Linked DNA regions of Schizosaccharomyces pombe. Changing the gene in region 2 together with the main gene of any one other region gives a genetic interaction. Each region holds a gene or a part of one and is shown on either strand. Other genes may lie near its edges. The genes, in order: git3, cgs2, sak1 and rhb1.

The links.
Region 1: of cgs2 (region 2) and git3, a mutation in one rescues a mutant of the other (synthetic rescue), as found in Schizosaccharomyces pombe (one study listed by BioGRID).
Region 3: of cgs2 (region 2) and sak1, changing one suppresses a phenotype caused by changing the other (phenotypic suppression), as found in Schizosaccharomyces pombe (one study listed by BioGRID).
Region 4: of cgs2 (region 2) and rhb1, extra expression of one rescues a mutant of the other (dosage rescue), as found in Schizosaccharomyces pombe (one study listed by BioGRID).

Annotation. Positions count from the first base shown.
Region 1 is NC_003421.2:1,541,797-1,548,115, reverse strand, and holds git3 (G-protein-coupled receptor Git3), read left to right. Parts: upstream 1-2,020; 5' UTR 2,021-3,534; coding exon 3,535-4,935; 3' UTR 4,936-5,783; downstream 5,784-6,319. Other genes in the region: meiotic recombination protein Rec7, read left to right, coding at 1-228; single-stranded DNA-binding protein Ssb2, read left to right, coding at 6,202-6,319. UniProt on the Schizosaccharomyces pombe protein: G protein-coupled receptor (GPCR) that senses glucose and signals via the heterotrimeric G protein alpha subunit gpa2 to activate adenylate cyclase and PKA signaling, and suppress sexual development and gluconeogenesis.
Region 2 is NC_003421.2:1,809,836-1,814,619, forward strand, and holds cgs2 (dual-specifity cAMP/cGMP phosphodiesterase Cgs2), read right to left. Parts: upstream 2,809-4,784; 5' UTR 2,797-2,808; coding exon 2,707-2,796; exon of another isoform or gene 2,646-2,706; coding exon 2,637-2,645; exon of another isoform or gene 2,591-2,636; coding exon 2,178-2,590; exon of another isoform or gene 1,726-2,177; coding exon 1,197-1,725; 3' UTR 502-1,196; downstream 1-501. Other genes in the region: coatomer delta subunit Ret2, read left to right, coding at 1-78, 149-424; SPRY domain membrane protein, specificity factor required for ubiquitination Ear1, read right to left, coding at 4,500-4,784.
Region 3 is NC_003424.3:3,146,432-3,151,283, reverse strand, and holds sak1 (DNA-binding transcription factor Sak1), read left to right. Parts: upstream 1-1,564; 5' UTR 1,565-1,776; coding exon 1,777-4,077; 3' UTR 4,078-4,336; downstream 4,337-4,852. Other genes in the region: rRNA processing protein Fcf2, read right to left, coding at 4,725-4,852. UniProt on the Schizosaccharomyces pombe protein: Positively regulates cyclic AMP-dependent protein kinase-mediated exit from the mitotic cell cycle.
Region 4 is NC_003423.3:473,121-476,346, forward strand, and holds rhb1 (Rheb GTPase Rhb1), read right to left. Parts: upstream 1,378-3,226; coding exon 1,316-1,377; exon of another isoform or gene 1,257-1,315; coding exon 998-1,256; intron 944-997; coding exon 707-943; 3' UTR 550-706; downstream 1-549. Other genes in the region: SPOM_SPBC428.15 (Obg-like ATPase), read left to right, coding at 1-319; wpl1 (WAPL family protein), read right to left, coding at 1,507-1,761, 1,807-1,859, 1,900-3,226. UniProt on the Schizosaccharomyces pombe protein: Binds GTP and exhibits intrinsic GTPase activity. Regulates entry into stationary phase when extracellular nitrogen levels are adequate for growth.

The DNA.
Region 1 (6,319 bases), 270 kb from region 2:
ATTGCTGCTACGCCGCTGAACTCTCAGACACAGGCTTCGTGGGTTGCTCAACCGGAGAACCAAGCATACGCAAATTTGATTCCATCACCCCCAACGACTTCACAAATCCTACCAACAGAACTTACTGAAGAGGAAAAGCAATTACGCTCCAAGGTATTATTCTATCTAAAACAAGACAGCTTCATCCAATTATGTCAAAGTTTGGAACGGGTATGGAACAAGATGTAGGAAGACAGACCAATTCAACTTAATCCCAAATTTAAAAAAGTAGTAAAAATGGAACGAAATCAGGATCGGAATGGTTATTTCGACAAAATTGATGTGTGACCACAATTTGGCAACCAAATGAGAAACTTCATTAAGTTCACATTCTTCGAGTACCGTGATAAAACATTTGTTGCAAATTTTGACATTATTTAACGAAAAGTTGGTCGAGATCTCAACTGCATATGATCGTTGCTGAGGATTAGCAAACAGAAACCGCCAACACAACAATGTTGAAATAAATTTCTCTACTTGTTGCATGACTCTTTTCCCTTAGGCTTGTCCATGCAGAGCATTAAAATCAAATTGAGAAGATCCCGTTCCGATCCTTGGGGTGTAAGCCTCCACCACGACACATAATCGGTATCAAAAGACAACTCTGAAAACTTTTTGATGGGGGAATTGCCGCAAGTACAGCATGAATACTAGTGTTAATAATGGGTCAGGTTACAACGGTTAAAATTGAGTTGGTGGTTGGTTTTGATAATTGACTTAACAATCCACGAGAGGAGTTCATGACATTAAGTACGAAAATGGTCAAATAGTTAGTTTAACTTCAAAAATAGACGAACCAAGTGGAGAAAGTAAATGTTCCGAGCACCAAAAAAAAAACATGATATTTTTTAAAGGGATGAAACAGCTAGAACGTTATGAGTGTAAAAAGGATTTTTTTTTTTTTTTTGGGTACTTCCGAGAGAGACAACAGTCTACAAAGCTTCACAATGATTTCAATGTCCGTGAAGTAAACCTTAAAATGTCGAATCGACTTTGAAGGGTTGCATGCGAATTATCAAATAATGTTTAAAAGTGTTGTCAATGGAAAATGAATCCCGTTTCCCATTTCACTTAATCTAGCTTATCTGCCTAATCGGCACTTAAGGTAGATGGAAACCAGAGAATATTCTTTTTTCCTCAAAACAAAAACGCCCCCGCTAGTAAACCTAAAGACAATACCGACTAACGATATTGTGATTTTCACTTGGTGGAATTGGCGGAAATGTTTTCAAAGATATGAAGGCATAACCGGATCAAACGGTTTCGACAATGCTAATAGAATTCTCTTCACGTGGACGAACCGGTTTCCAAGGAGAATAAAGACATAATAATAAAATTTAACACTCCTTGTTTTATTTCGACAATATTTATTGGTCTGGTCCGAATTGTTCATTTTGGTAACTACAACATTACTCCCTATTTTTAAGCACGTTTTCATTACCCCTAATTGAAACTTGATTCTATCAACTTTCAATTTACCGGGGCTCGTTTTATTATTCTATTCTCACCATCATTCGATTTTCGCTTCATTTCTGTTGAGGGACTGCTTCCTAGATTGGTGTTTAACGCTTATCGCAACGCATGGAGTTGCATTTCATCCATTTTCTTTTGAAAATAAAGTGTGACCTCTTCTTGTGCCTAATATTGACTTGACTTTAAACACTGTAAAAATAAACGCTGTTTTTTAAAACCATCAATAACTTTAAATCATCGGTTCCTTTTTTTCTTTTATAACGAGGACTTTCTCATTAACGCACTCTGAAATGATTCTTTTCACCCTGATTTTTTTTATGCGATTGTATTTGCTCCTCACGATATACTATACTAATCACTATCGTACTTAAAAAATAGGCCGATCGTCCGAACCTCGTTTGTCTGTGCAAAAACAACTCTCGTCATTCTTACACAAAAATTTCGTTTACAGCGATACTACAAATTTTTTTCATAAGTTATAATGGTTGGTGGTAGCACATCTAGGAGTGTGAAAGCATCGCCGATATTGTGTTAGTGCGACAAGGCTCATCAAGGGATTAGGGAAATTTTTTCTTCAATAGTCTTGCTAGAAAATTACTCGGAATTTGAATCGTTGTCGATATTTTTTTTTCTGAAATTACAATTGTTCATTGTCTCTGCGTAGGTGCAAATTTCTGATTTGCTCTACAGCTTGTGATCTTAAATCTACTTAGTCAATCGACTCTGTACTATTGACGCCTGGGCCCCCTCACATAATTCAATTGCGATCTTTTTTTTTATTCTTCTTCTGTGGACTTAAGGTGCGGAGACTTTGGTTTATTTGTCTCCTCTTGTGTTTCTGTCAAGCCCGTGTGCTTGCATATTTTTTCAGAAAAATCCCGCATTGGTACTTAACTACTGTACTTGCTATAACACCTTATCCATTAGTCGTTGAGGTATATTTGTGCATATTCACTACACACTCATACACAACAGCAAAGGCGGCAACTCTCCGCCATCATTACTTATAATCAAGCCAACTCCATCAGCCAACCCAAACCACGGCGCCTTCAATTGATTTGTCTTTTCCTTAATTATCGGTAAATTTCACCGATTTGATTTAGTACCGCTTTATTCACTGTACGGCGTTAATTGCAAGCCATACCGCCTCCGATTTCCCTATTCTTCAATATCCTTAAGAAGGTTCGCCACGCTATTAAGAGCCTTGCAAAACGTGCATAAGTGGCTTTGAGCTCTAAGTGACTTCACTAGTGCTTTCTTTATAAGCACAATACATCGTTGGTTGTTCACGTCAATTGCGCTTTTCTTCTTGCCAAGAGTGTCGAGACGGGACTGCGCTTTATTAATAATCGTCGGCACCGTTTTGCGTCCGGCTTTCCTGGTTGCATTCGTTTATCACTTTTGAGCTGCTTCGTCGGCCACGATTAAAGGAAAAAGCAGTAGATTTACTATTTCAACTTTTACCTTTAACAGTTTAATCGTGTGTCTACAACTTTCGAAAGAATAGTTGAGTTAATTGAAAAGTAAAGACGAGAAGCTTGTTTTTGGAAAAAAGAAAACAGAAACAAAAATAAAAGTACGGGAATTCAAATTCATATTCGAAACAAACTCGTTTAGTTTAGAGAGCTCCTTCTATATTGCCAGTTTGCTAAGTTTTTTACATCAACTTGAAGAGACTGTTTATATTCGCGAACGAAGCAATTTATAGAAAATCGAGGGTCAGATATGCAATCTTGGGTAATTGGATATACGAGATATACTATTTTTTGCACTTCTTAAGGGTAATAGGACTGATTACCCAAGTGGCTGAAAATTCTGTTTTGCTTTCTTGTTTGTCTATTTGAACATTTCTGAAGTCATAGATTTGTCTTTGGAGTATTCCTTTTTTTTTTGTCTTTTTTTTTGTTTTTCGTTCTGATATTGCTTTTCTTGTTTTTTACTTTCTCACCTCCTCTCCTCTCTTTTTTTTTCCTGTCTTCTTGAAGAGAAGTTTAAACTTTGTAATAAGGAACAAGGTTGCTCATGCTTCATTTAGATTATACGTTTAATGTTTCCGATGCCACGAGTACGAGTTCCATCATCATTGTCTCTCGCAGAGAGTTAGCTAACCTGAGAATCATGGTCATTATAGCTTCAGCCATATCTATCGTTTTCAGCTTAATTGCTATCTTCTGGCGATGGTCTCGTCGGCGAACAATACGTGAACAATTTCATATCGCTCTTTTTTCTGTATTGTTTATTCGTTCCATTGTGCAAATGATTCATCCATGTCTAGCATTAAGCGATCCTTTTTTTTGGGCTCCAAAACATCGATGCTTTACAATTGGATTTTTTCTTTTGGTACTTGTTCGGATGACTGATTATTGGATTTTTATCAACATATTGCATAATGCTCTTTTGGTGCTTTTCCCCCATGTTGATACTGAACGAAGGGGTCTATATCGTTTTCGGCATACTGTGTTTACACTGTCATTTGTAATTCCTTTAACTATTGGCGGACTTGCTTTTACCAATAAAAGAAATACATTTGTCAATTTACAAACCCGATGCTACCTTCCCTATACCCCTGTACGATTCATGTTTGGTTTGAATTGGTCATTTGATTATGCGCTAAGTATTGCAATTATTGCTTTACAAACTTGCATGTTCATCTCGATCAGAAGGAAAATCAAACGTTTCAAGAAATACTCACATCAACAAACAAATGTGTTTGATACTTTAAATGTCATTGATTCGTATCCTACCGCTCCGGATCAAGTAGCTCTTCCACCATTTCCCGACACCAACAGTACTTTAACATATACTCCATCTAATTCTCAATCCATTTACTCCTCGCAGTCTCAACCTTCTCCCTATTCGAGACCGTTACTATCCTCTGTGCATCCTAATTTGCCTCCTGGTTCGCAGTCTACTCCTGCTAATCTAAATCAATCAGGAATACATTTCGAACAGGATTTTAGGGATAGTCCAAATCGCACAAATGGCCTTGAAGATCACACGAGTTTTAAACTCAGTAGTCCATTGACTAGTGACGAAGATGGTGCTTCTAGTGTTTTGGCTGCATATGGAAATGATATGCAAGATGATCCCCTCCTTAAACAACGGAAACGCATTTTAAGTCAGTCTAAGTTTTTGTTTGCTTATCCTGCAATTTTTATCTTTATGTGGATTCTCCCTCAAATACAGATTATCGTTATACTTGCCCAACCGTTGCACTGCTCTGGTTCATGCAAACGATTCGCATTTGTTGCAGTCTTTGCAGACAACTTCGTTGCCATCTTTATTGCCTTGTCAGATTTTATTTGGATTTGTTATCGTGGCTACACGTATTTGAAGGAAAGAGATTCGAGTAAAAGTTATTGGGATCAAATAAAGGAGTTGACTTTAAAATGGTGGCGGGGTAAATTTGGTGAGGAAAAATAGAAGGATTTGTTCTTTTTATTTTTGTTTATGGTGAAGTCTCACAAGCTCCTCTTCTTGTATTATAATTTCTTTTTATGACGATTTTATTATCACTTTACTTCTTAAAATTTTCTCATAGCCTTTGCATTCATATGTCTTCCTTTTTTGTTAAAGCCATCCAGTGAATGACAATGGAATGTGAATGGAAACAACTGTGGTAAACCAACTAATATTTTAATATCTCCCATTTTTGCATCACCTCTAATATATGTCATACTTTAATTTTCGCTTCCCAGAATTTATTTCGAAGTATTAAATTTTGGCACTACTTAACTTGGCAAAAGGCTCGGATTGGAAGATGGTTTAAAGCTTGGCTGCTTCAAATTGATAAGGCCGCTCACAATTATCGATGTATATATATGTACTGTGTCTATGACAGTTTTCTATTCATCTCGGGGAATTCATTTTTGGAACGCTTAGTCGCCTAAACAATTCTTCCTTATATAGAATGTTTATGTTCAGCTTTACCAACTATCATTCACTCGTTTTCATTTTTCAGATGCTCTTACATTTTACTGCTTGCATTAAGCATCTGTCTTCAAAACTATATTCAAAATTTATGTCCCCAATACTATATTTCCTCAATACATAAAATGGATGGATTGTGCATAGCAATACGTTTATGTTCTTATTTTGTATATGTCGATGTGCGAATAGTCATTCACCATTAGCTATTCTTTTGTTGTGGATAAATCGCTTTTCTTCCTATACGATTTGTAAAATTGCGTCGGACATTTGTTCCATGCCTTCTTGTTACATATGAATGTGTTAATGTTTACAAATTTAATAATGTATTTTTTAGTTTTTCTTTACATTTGGTAAAGCAGAATGGTAGCACAGTATCTGATTGCTTTAAGCGTTTTAAGTCAATTGAGCATCCCGTGATTAGTAGGTTTTTGTATTGAAAACTATACGGTTATAGAGAAAAAAAGTAGATGTAAGATGGTTTTCTAAATAAAACAGTTAATTTTATTACATTGTAGTATATAAGCACGCTTGCTTGATTTTATTCTTTTCGGTACACCACCGCGAAACGCGACTCGTAACTTGTACTAAACACACCACTGAAAAGTAGACTACTCGTGGAATCAGCTGTAACTTTATATTCAATTATTTAAAAATCACTCTCTAAAAGATCGCAGATATATTTTTAAGTGGTTGATTTGCTTTTTCATCGCTCTTTAATTCACCCTAACAAACTTTCATAATTTGAGATAATACGTGCTCATGGCTTATGATGCTTTTGGCAAGCCGGGCTATGGTCCCGACTTCAATAGCGCTTTTTCTCCAGGAATGGGAGGAGGCGCTGGATTTAATGAATATGATCAATCGAGCCAGCCCAGCG
Region 2 (4,784 bases):
AATGTATCTTTGACACAGATCAAAACTTATTTGGAAATGGAGAGTCACGAAGAGAAAATTCAAGAAATTGTATCAAGAGTACGTGTTGAAGCATAGGGGTGGAGTCATCGAAATTTTTTTTGTATGGTTTTACTAATGCACTTTCTAGAACAAAGAAATTGAAGCAACTGAAGAAAGGAAGCGCCGCATCAAACAACTTGAATTACAAAAGAAAGAAGCTGCAAGACGGGCGGCTCAGAATCTTCCCAGTGCAGATGCGTATGAATCCATTGGGTATCAAACAGTTAATACAACCTTTGCTACGTCTAATGTTGAAGACGAATCTGCCATGGAGTCTTATCACGCTGCAGCAAAGGCTTCTTCTGCTCCCAAAGCGAAAGGAATGCAACTTGGAAAGAAGAAGAATACTAGCTTGTTATATTAATTTACTATTCCAGCGCCCTTTATGATCATTGCATCCGTTTTGGTTCGTTTCCCCTTTGTAATGTGCTTTTCCTACGATCATATGCGATAACTAGAAATAATAATCATTTTTCTATCCCAAATTAAACATCGTAATCAAGAGTCGACCATTACCAACTGTAATAGAACACTTTGTTCCTTTCATACCCTCCAGAATACTTCCTAGTCTATCCAATCGAAAAAAGCAGAGCAAACCTATATTGATTCATCACTCAACTAATATACCCGCTACCCTTTAGGAATGCTTCCTCTTGTTTCTAGGTAAACAATATTAGAACAGAGAAATCGTCATATAATATAACCCATTTATTCAAGTATATAATCTGGTTAAGACTTTTAACCCATCGTTCTATAAACCTCGTCAACAACAACAAAAAACCAAATTAGAAATCTATTTAAAAAGTAAAGCAGATTGGCAAACAAAGAAAAAGCATTCTATTTTTGAAAATAAAGTGTCCGATGAGAAAAGCGTGAAATTCTAATGAGAGTAAACCAGCAAAGCGAGGTACGATGAACTGGTAATGAAAAATAAAAAAAGGTAATAATTAATTGCTTTAGCATTCAATAATTAACAACAAAGTCAAAATTCCTCCAACAGAATTCTCAATAATAGAAAGACATGCGGCAACGGCGGAAGGATAAAAGGGCGTAACGAATAAATGGAGAAACCTAAAAGAAATTAAAAAAAAAAAATAAAAATATAATGAATATATGACCATGACCCTGGGATGCTATTAAAATTTATAAAATTGACCACGCTGAAGGATTTTAAATGTGACTGAAAGAGAACTTTTGGAAGACAACGACTCTAACTGCTCCAATATAACATCGGCAGGATTCGCCGACTGAAGAGGATGTGATTTCAAATGAGTGAGCAAACACGTAAGGGTAGGCATGATAACGCCATAACTCTGGACCAGAGATTGGAGTATACAAAGCTCGTTCACTAGATGTCTAGGGCAAAAATGACCAAACAAAAGAGTATCAGGGATGTCAGGAGTGGAGCATTCGATAAGAATATGAGAAAGCTTTCTTTGAGCAATTAAACTAGAGCAAGCTCTCCAAATATGAATGTTAAGCGGTTCTGAGGCTACCATATCGGGTTCGACGTCCCCGAAAGCCAAAAAGTATCTGTCGGATAGGTTATTCCTAAATAAAAATGCAGACGACTTTAGCTCTTGACCGAAAGAGGAGCCATGATTAACGGGAAAGGGCAATATAGACAAAGTAGTCGTTAAACTAGTATACATGGAAGGCTCAACCCTAAAAAGAGGTTAGTCTCATTGTCAAATGAGAAAGAGAAATGCCGATGGGGTTGATTTAGCAAATTCGCATAAGAGTTAAATTCATTAACTTGTTTGAACAAGAACAAAAGATATTAGAACAGTGAAAGAAAAAGAGATATAATTATTATTGCAATCTTTGCAATCTTTCAAATAATATCACTGTCTCACAAAAAAAATTGCACAAGTACCATGAAACCATGCAAATCAACCAAAGCGTCAGCAGATAGTTTACATATATGCAAAATATATAAATGTGTGTTCAGCAAATAGATTTGAAGGAAAAAAAGACGAGCATACATCTCTTCAACTAAGATGAAGAAAATAAAAAATTTTCAAAACTCAACATTGCCTTCCCAACCCTCAACCTATTCACTAAAACAATGAAAAAATTTTCATTTGACAGAAGCTATTGAGAAAGAATTTACTTACACCTGAAAATTAATAAATCCGGCTTTGTCGAGGGAAGGCCATAATAAGTTATTAAACACGTGCTTTTTTAGGGTATCGATCACATAGTTTAACCCAACTATGGTTCTAGGATTTTGAGGACCAAACATGGCGCTATTGATGACGGCTCCATAGATGTGGTCTAAATGACAGTGTGTGATGAGAAACGTTTTAATCCTTTGCTCTGAAAGGTGCCAGGCTTTTGCGTATGATTCATTTTCCACCGTATAATTGTCATACTTGGTGATGGAAGACCAAGAATCGACGGACAGGTGTTTTGACTGGATCAACTCAACCAACGCCGATAGGTGGCTTCCACCATCCAGCGATATAATTTCTTGAAATGCGCCATCAGAAATCAAATGACTGCTACAGCAAGACTCCAATGGACCCCCCTAATAAGTCAGCATGGCTCTCAATGCATAATGTTTGAATTCTTACATTTTGTCCCTGTTTTCGTTAACGTTAGTCGAAATTCTTCAAAAAAAAAAATATTTTTCGTTTTTCATACCAATGAATATAATGTAAAAGAATTTTCTACGAGTCCTACTACTTGATCGGTTTGAAATTCAGCTTCTTTGATTTCGAGTGCTGCATGCATGGCTAGGCTTATGGAGAGTTACAGATCTCCGGTGCATGCACTAGTCTACAAAAACATGTCGGTTGACGTCATATTTATTACAAGCATACATTTACTACCGTAGATTTAGGGTACGATAAACGATGCTCGAAATGTGGAGAAACTCGGGGTATAGTGTAGTGTGTTAATTATCCTTATTCATGTGCCCGCTTGGTGAAGAAGTATGCTATGAATAAATAAAAGGATGGAAGTCGTTAAGTGGAGAGGAACGAAGTTATGCTTTGCTGCTTTAAGTAAGATATTAAGAAAAAAAATGCGACTTTGATGAAACACGTTTGACATGTATCACTTCCTTATGAGAGCAATTTTTCCGAAGGTTCAATATACACCCTTAAAGAATGTCACGTAACGAGAAGAGAGAGAGCTATTTTTTATATAATTCCAGAGGTTTCCTTTTTTTATCGTTTAACATTTCTGAGGGGAAGTTTTGTTGCTTGTTTAACAATGTCGGCAGAAGTTTATGCCCTTCTCTTTAAGAGACCGACTAGCAAACAATTGTAAACTATCGGACACTAATATGTTTTTTAAAATAATAATTCATTATACATACAAAAAACTGAACCTCGTGTAATATAGATTTCCGTATGAACTTGGTTCTTTATCGGACTTTGAGGATTCGTAAGTCCCAGTCATTTTATCTGATTATGCTAAACTAACTCTTACTTTTTCATAGAGTACTTAGATAGTTCCAGTCAGTGCTGCTGAGAACCAGTTTGCATCAGTTAGGGAGGGTGGTAATCGTTGTAAGAGCTTTCAAAATATGATCTCCTTTTCCTTTATGCAAGATAATCAAAAGAAACATTCCTAAATTACCTATTTGAAGAATCTTTTGTATGTGCCGCTGAAATTGCTTTCCATTGAACTTTTTGTTGGTCTATGGAGAGAAATCATCATAGGTGCATAGCAGCCTTTAGGTAGATATTTTAATTAGCAATATATCCCAATTTTCCCTTTGATAATGATCGGTCTTTTTTCAATTAAGTCTATACCTAAAGGCATATTGGAAACTTGCTATAAAAGTTTGAAATAGAAACAATTCTCAGAATATTACTTGAATACGTTCTCTGTTTTACTCCCTTTTTTTTTTACTCACAAAGAATGTCACACTGCAGTATCGAATTGCTTTATTTGTTCCTTTGGAATAAAAAGGTAGATTTCCTTTTATTACAGCAAAAGATAACAAGACTAATAATTAAGCGGCTTTGTTTTTACCAGGAATTGCATTTTATGACACTACGCAAAATTAGAAATGTAAAAAAGCGCTTTCGAAAATTTCCTTTTACACTTTCATTATCAGGATTGACAACCCTATGAATTCCTCCGTTAAAACTTCTCACCAGCGGAATTCGATGAAGGTTGATGTTAACAGTATAGACTCAATAGCAACATTATACGAAAAATCATAATAAATTGTGAATAACCTTTTATTAATTGAGCGAATAAACATAGAGTAAATTTAATTAAGATTAATAATTATAACTAATTTTGAAGAAATTATTATAAAGAAAATAAATACATTGAACATCAACACATCCCCTTCAATTCATATACAAAGTGCATTTCTCGATTTTAGGACTAACTTGAAACACAACGCACAAACATTTCCACAACTTGATCTTTGGTTTTGGCGTGAAGGTTGTTAGTGCTAAGCTATACATTACTCCTTATACTTCATCGGTAGCAGGCATGGAGTGCATTTGATAAGCTTGATTGTTGGATGATGATGGACTGAAAACATTACCAGCCGCATCATACGAGGTACCATCAAAATTTATTGGAGGTGACCTATTTTTCGATTTGTCGGGTCTATTTGTATCGCCCTGCGTTGTTGTACCCGCTGAAGACTCACTAGCTGCATCCCAACTAATAGTTGGCTGCGATGTAGAATACGACGGAGGAGGAGCCAAGCTTCCAACCGCAGGAGCGAGTCTCCATTTCTTGATGTTTGC
Region 3 (4,852 bases), on a different chromosome or scaffold from region 2:
TAAATAAAGATAAAGAATAAATGTAATGAAAATAAAAAAAAACAGCTGTGTTATAATCCAACTGATTACAGCTCGCAGACAATTTTTTCAAAAAGGAACAAGGCCGTAGAAACGAATGCTACACTTATGACTAGGTCAGAATGAAAACAAGCAAAATATAGGAGGAATGTTCAATGACACGCAGATAAGACAACAGGATAGAAACTTTTCTTCTCTACCAAAGATAGTTGATAAATGGTATCAAAACGGGATTATTTTTTTGGTAAAATCAAGTAGCTAAAGTTCATAACCATACAATTAAAGCGTTGCAATACCTCAGAAACTGAGAAGATGCCTATAACAAAAAATGGGATAAGAAACCCAAACTATGGGAGGAAAAAAAAGATTAAAGGCGGAAAGTGATATTGTTAGAAAGTATGGAGAAAATCCTACAATGGTGGGTATTTGAATTCTTCATAAAAGAAGGATAGTTTACATGGAGCGAGTCATTGAATGAACTTTAAGCCGTTAAAAATCTACCGAAAATAGCTCGTTTAAGCGTGAGGTTATTTTTTTTTTATTTTTTAACGAATTTGTTACAAGTGTCCAGAAGTTCGTAAAACTTGAAGAGAGCAAGTAAATTTGTATAAACAAACATGTTTTTTAAAGTATAAAAACTTTGTAAATGATATTTAAGTTGGTGTAGAAATTTAATGTAAAAAAATTTTGGATGCTTTTTGTGTACGATAGATCGACTAAAAAAACATACAAGAATGCGCAGGTCATGCCATTCTTTTTTTTTCCATTAATTTATTCCATATTGACTCGCCATCCCCACTTTGCGGTAAATAAGCGCTGCAAAGTTTCTCGTTGATTTTTACTTTCCTCCCTCTACCACTCCTAAGAAGAAAAAGGAAATTTTTTGACTAAATAGTCATGATTTCAGCAATATTCTACTTGTGTTAGTGATGTTTTAGCAGTAGACAATGATTTTCAAAAAGCTCGAAAATACGGGTTTTCCGCAATACCCGCTACTATTTTGGTAGAAAAACAAGTCATTGTTAGTTCGTCGTTTTAAAAACGCTATCGTGAAAATGAAGATTCTTTTGAAAAGATAAAAGTCTTTTAAATCCGCAGAAAAAAGAAAAAAGAAATTAAACAGAAGAAGCTTGTATGGACTTTACTTCGGCTATTTGCATTCATTCTTCACCTCCTTATGATTGGTGTGTGTAAGCATGCAAGCGACTGCTTTGGTTTAGGTGCAATGAAATTCACTATTTCATTTAACGTTTCAATGGTTCAAGACTTCGCAACGACGAATAGGATCATGGATTGATATCGTAAATAACAATTAACAAGCCCGAAGGAGGTGGAAAGAAAAGCAATTTGATGTAAAATTAAGCTAGCGAAGAATTAAGAATGTAATCAAGCGCCCCACTGCAGTGCCGTGATTATCCTTGTCTTTTAAACACCGAAGTTTAAAATCCTTGCGCTTAACAAGCGATAGTGATCGACGGTGGAAACATTTTTTTTACGACCTCGAGGAGTTGGCGCTTTCTTTGCCCATAAGCATCTTCTTGTCTTCACCACACTTGAGCATTTCCGACTAGCCAAGGCTGGTCAATTTGCCCCTCAAATATTTTCTGAGGATTTAATAGTTACGACGTATAGAGGGTGCTTTTTAATTTTTGGTATCTTAAAAAAGGTTTGTATAGTACCGGTTGGATGTTGGCAAGTAGATAATTTTTTGTGGTAAATTTTTGCACTTCCGATAAACGTTCTGTCAGGCACAGGATTATGAATCCATCTGATTTACCAGGTCAAATACCTCTGTCTAGATCAGATATGAATGTCCAAGATCAATTGGACCCGGTTCAACGCTTTGATACTCATTTTATGCTTCCCCAGGAGGAGAATTTTTTGAATCGCCCCTCCATAACCTCCGAATCTGCACATCCACGAGGAAGTGATTTAGAGCAAGAGACAGAACTAAAAAGACTTGCGTTGGAACATGAACATTACTCTTTAGAGTCGCTAGCGGAAAAGCTGCGAATGGACCACGTAAGTGCCAATTCGGAAAAATTTCGCCAGGTTTTTGGCATATGTTGGTTAAAGCGTGCTTGTGAAGAACAACAAGATGCTGCTGTCCAACGAAATCAAATATACGCTCATTACGTCGAAATCTGTAACTCTTTGCATATCAAACCTCTAAATTCCGCTTCGTTTGGAAAACTGGTTCGTTTGCTCTTTCCTTCCATCAAAACCCGACGTTTAGGCATGCGTGGCCACTCAAAATACCATTATTGTGGTATTAAACTGCGTGGTCAAGACTCTTTTCGCAGACTACGTACCTTTTCAGATTCAAGTCTTTCCCCCGTTTCCTGTTCTTCGTTTCCCAAACCTATTCCCAATCATTTTGAAAACGATGTTTCTTCTATTCAAAACACAAATCAGCGTGTAGAAAGCAGCCCTGCATCGGTTAATGCTGCGGCTATAGTTAGAAAATCCGCTGTCACCCCTTCATCAGATCCTTACAATTCGCCTCCTCCTTCTATACCTTTGCTAGGAAGTCAAACCAATTTGCAATTGGCTCCTTCTTTTGCTGCTCCACAAGCCCATCCCCTACCTTCACATCTTTCACAATCCAATGTTCCGCCACAACTTTCTCATTCTTCGGTACCTTCACCTGCACCACCCCGTTCTGTGTCCCAACCGACCTATTTTTCTCAACCCATGCCTCAGTTTTCTTCTTCGTTTGTACCCGGTACTTCTTCGATAGTACCTACCTTGCATCCTGCTTCTGCACAAGAAGATTTTAATCTTCAACATTCCCTATTCTTCAAACTTAAACTTAAATTCTTGCCTCCTCATAAGCTTCCTTGGATCCCATCATTAGACGTGTCTTCATTTTCCTTACCTCCTATTGACTATTATTTAAATGGTCCATACGATAATGTCGAGGCGAAATCTGCATTAATGAACATTTATTCTTCGCATTGCATTACTCTAATTGAATCAGTCCGGTATATGCATCTCAAGCAATTTCTGTCCGAGATCTCTAACTTTCCCAATTCCCTCTCTCCTTCTCTTTTAGCTTTGCTGTCCTCTCCTTATTTCACGAAATGGATTGAGCGTTCTGATACCGTTATGTACAGGGAAATACTGAAGTTGCTATTCCCTATGACTCTTCAAGTGGTACCTCCGCCAGTCTTGGTGCTACTGCGTCATTTAGCTGAGAATCTCGTTAATCACATATCCAGCATATACGCTTCTCATTCATCTTGTCTTCTCCAAGTCAAATCTGAGACTGCCGCAATCTTTAGTAACTTATTGTCTCGTCTTTTGCGTGTCAACGATACGGCTCATGCTGCTGCTAGGTTCCTTGCCAACCCTGCCGACAGGCATTTAATTTGTAACGACTGGGAACGATTTGTCAGTACAAGATTTATTGTACATAGAGAATTAATGTGCAATGACAAAGAAGCAGTAGCCGCGTTGGATGAGTGGTATTCTATCCTTTCAACCTGTTCAAATCCTTCTGAGCTTTTAGACCCTTTGAAGGACAAACATGAAGCCAGTGATACATCAATGAACAGGGTCGAACTTCGACAAATTGATGGTGTTTTAGATCGTATGGCAGATTTTTTTCTGGAGTTGCCTTCCAGATTTCCCTCCTGCTCTCCTAGAATGTTTCTTCTATGCCTAGGCGCTTTACAAACTAGTGTGCTTCGTGAAATCACGGTCAGTGGAGGTGAAGCATTTGGGGCTCTTTGGGTAATTAGATGTTGGGTCGATGAATACATGACTTGGGTGGCAGAGATTGGCGGATACCTCGATGATAGTTATGATGAGCTGGAACAGCATCATGCTAACTTTCATAATAAAGCTGGAATATCTCAGAGTAATATCCCTCCTCATTTACAGGAGCACCGTCAATCCCAGCAACACTTCCAACAAGACATCGAAGCTTTGCAATCACAACAACAACAACAAGCCACTAAAAATTCCTTGATGGAAGCTGCCTACCAGAATGCTCAGAAGCAAAAGGAAGACGACTATATATCCATTGTATTTGATACAAATGGTGCTTGTAGTTGATGTACAATATAGTTGACCCTTTTTAGGGCTTCGAAAAAGCAAGCGTAATTACACTGACAAAAGTTAATATCATTCATATTATTGTTTTTGTTTTTTAATATATGTTTCTTTTGTTCAGGAGGTCTATTTGTTTAAGTCTGTGAACTTTTGAAATGCAATTAGATTACTATAATCCTGGCGCTTGTTTCTTATGGGTGAACGTCCATACATATACCAAATTGAAAGTGACTATACTTTATATTTGTTTTTTATTTCTTTTAAAATTTCACTGTCAGTAAATAGAGTTTCAACATTTTTGTCTTTAATTTTGATATCGACTATCACATATGTATTGATTAATATAAATGTTCTCCGATAACTATTTTATAAAACCTATTTAAACTATTGAGTGTAATTATTGCATTTCTCTGGCAGTAACAAGAATATTAAGCCCATACAAATGAGGAAATTGGCATCGATATCATTCAACAAGAATAGCGAACCCCCAAAAAAACAGCATCATACTAAAAGCGAACTTTCTACGAGAAACTTCGTGTTTAAAAAACAAGACTTCAAATAAAATGTTTAAATATTCCCCTTAAAGACCATATATTAAATTAAAAAAACGACAAAATAACTTAAACAACGGAAAATGGAAACATCAACCACTATTTCAAGTAAGAAGGTTTTCGGCGCTGCTGAAGTTTTTTATATTGCCCCTTCCGTCCACTCATTTTCGATTTTTGTAATTCTAGATATTTTTTCTTGAAGTACGATCGTCTTTCTGAATCGTGCA
Region 4 (3,226 bases), on a different chromosome or scaffold from region 2:
CCTCCAAGACATGGTATTATTTCGACACGGTTCAACTGGAGTTTGTAATGTTTTAGCAAAGGCAATGGAACTTTTAAATTTGATTCCAGTTTTTCCCGTTAAAAACGTTCACAATTTTGCAAACTCTCCTAATGAAGGTGTTTTCAGAGATTGCATCTTAGTGAAGCAAGGAACGACTGCTGGACAGGTATCTCAAATGGTATTGGGTGGAGAAGCAATGTCTATTGTGGGTGTAAATGGAAACGTCGGCGAATCTGATGTTATTGTCCCAGGTAAAACGGATATCCTTCACTTTCGATTGCGGAAAGCTGAAGCTTAAGTGATTCATGAAGAAAAGTGGTAAAAGGTCGATTTTGGGAAATATTCAAAATAGTTTTGTATAGATGTTAATAAACAATACTATGTCTAAAAATTAATTTGGTTAGTTTAAAACTTCCGAAGAGCTAACTCAACAAATTACGTCTACAATGTCTGGCTGTACTTTCTCCACTATGTATTACATTGACTAAATTTTAAAACCATAGTTTAGGTACTTGTATATTTGAAATAAAGAGTCGAAATCTTGTAAACCCATGTGTAAAAAAACACGTTTGTGTGCAAAGTATCACCTCATGTAATGTAAGCCCATATCTTGCATTAGCAAAGATAAAATCGTTAATTCAGTTAAAATAAATTAATCCATAATATGATAAATTCAAGCAGAAGCTTAGGCGATAACACAACCCTTTCCATCACCAGGAGGGGAAGGATTTGCTTGTTTTTCAATTTCGCTGATAATTAGCTCGAATGCTCGAGCAACATTTTCGTTATGGCGAGCTGAAGCTTCTGTCCATGCACATTTCCATTCATTGGCCAATGCTTTTCCCTCTTCAGCGGTAACAGCACGCTGCATATGCAAGTCGCTCTTATTGCCAACAACCACAATGGGGACCCACTCAGTACCCTTAATAGCAAGTAGGTTAGTAAAAAATTTAAAAATTCTAATAATTTGACATACAGTGTGATTCAATATCTTGTCACGAACTATTTTAACCATCTCAAAAGAAGATTTGCTAGTAATGCTGTAAACGAGTACATAGCCATGGATTCCAATGGAATGCTTAGAATTTAAGATACTGTATTCATCTTGACCAGCCGTATCGATAATTTCAGTAGCAAATTCTTGACCCTTATACTTGATGTTCTTGCTGAATGTATTTTCAATAGTTGGATAATACGATTCAACGAAATGGTTTTCAACATATTGCACCGTTAAACTATTTAAAAAAAATGGTTAGTAAACCTATTTGCGCATAAACTTCAATCAAACGCTTACCTGGACTTTCCAACAGAACGACTGCCAAGAACAGCAATTCTACGAGATTTAATAGGAGCCATTGTTTAAATTAGAAAATTTCAAGATTATAATATTTAAAAAGGCAAATTATTAACTATAGAGTGATCGTAAAAAAAAGTGAGTGAAAGCAACGATGTTGTGGATGTCACGTTCCCAGCGCGCCGCAAAGGTCATTTTACCAAGTCACTGCGCAAGTAGTCTTGCAACGATTTATGTAGTTCATCAATTATAGAAACAATGGCTAGTCCATTAGAACCCATCATCATTAATTCCTCTTTCAATTTCAAATGAAAATTTTTAAATTTATGTAGAGATTCGTAAAACTGAGATATCAAAGGCTTGAGTTGGGCAAACGCTTTGGGATCATTTAAAAAGCAATGGCTTAAAATCATTACGACATATCCACTAATTTCTACGATACTTTCCTACATTTGTTAGAAATGTCTTACAACAGAAGTAGTACAACTTACGTTCTTTTGATAAAACGAAATGAGGACATCGAGTGCTGAAGCTCCGAAAGAAACTAAATAGAATTAGTAAAAATATTAATAAAAGGAACTTACCTTCAACATGAGTGATAGTTTGAATAAACTCATGAGATTCCTCAACTAGCCCTAGTAAAAGACCAAGGATTAAGATAATTAGTTCTCGTGTAGTTTCATCATCGGACGAAAAATTAGAAAACTTTTGTAAAATTTTATAAGCAAACAATGGGACTTCTGATTTAGAAACCGCTAACGCATGATCACTGTTAGAATTAACTGTTTGAATCAAAGTACGCAACAATTTTTCACTGCATGCATGGACAACTGTATCGTCAATTTTTGGTGAATTTGTTTCATTGTGTTCATCAATTAAAATTTGTAACTTTGAGGATAAGATCTGTGAAACCTTCTGAATCTTTTCTGATCCCTGGAAATCCGTAAATTTTTCTAAAGAACTACAAAGTGCATGAAGTAAGAAGTTATTGCTTCCATCGTTTTCCTTCAAGATGGGGTAGGATTTTTCTATTAAAAGATTGATTAATTCGGTAAACAACTCGCTTTCCGCAAAAACTCCCGAGGACGTCTTCATAAGAGCGATAGCTGCAAGACTGATAGAATCAGAAGAAGCAAGAGACTCATTGCTAAAACTAAAAGTAAGCTCTGCCTTTATAACGAATTCTTGAACGGCTCCCTTTACACTTTTTGGTAAGCTTTTTGCCAAAATTGAAACCGGTACCTGCGGTTCTAAAGTAATAGCCGTTTGCAAAAGAAGTTTAACATTGTTTGAGTAAGCATCAAGCAAGGAACTCATGCAATCCATTTCATTAGCCATAGTTGCAAATATATAAATCTGCAAAAAAGTGTGTAAAGTATCTTTAGGATCAATTTCTTCAAATATTCGCAAGAAGACATCCCGTATCGACTTTAAGCATAAACGAAATGAATTGTCAAACATTTTTTCAGCGATTCCTATTAAACTCAAATAGCGAGAAGCAGAAGAGTTACCTGAGAAAGTCACTCCGTCCACTAAGTATTCAATTTCATCAACGATCCTTTGCTGCTCTCCAGCAAAGCGAAGTTCATGTATACTTTTCATTTGAATTTCATCATCTTCTGATACGTCTTCCTCTATCAAAAAAGCACGTTCTGTACCAATAGTATGGTTGGTTGAATCCAATTCTCGACCAGAGGATACTTCACGGGGTACAATTGGCTGAGTATCTAATCCTTCCTCCATCAAATACGATCTTTGTTCCCGATAGGTAGTGGAAGAATGGTTTGCGGAAGCATCAATACTACTACAGCTCGCGGACCTTTCCAGTCCTGTCTTATGAGAACCGTACTTTGAATTCTGAAGTCCATTTCTTAAAATTTGTTTTACCGGTGAAGACGGTAAACTCAAATC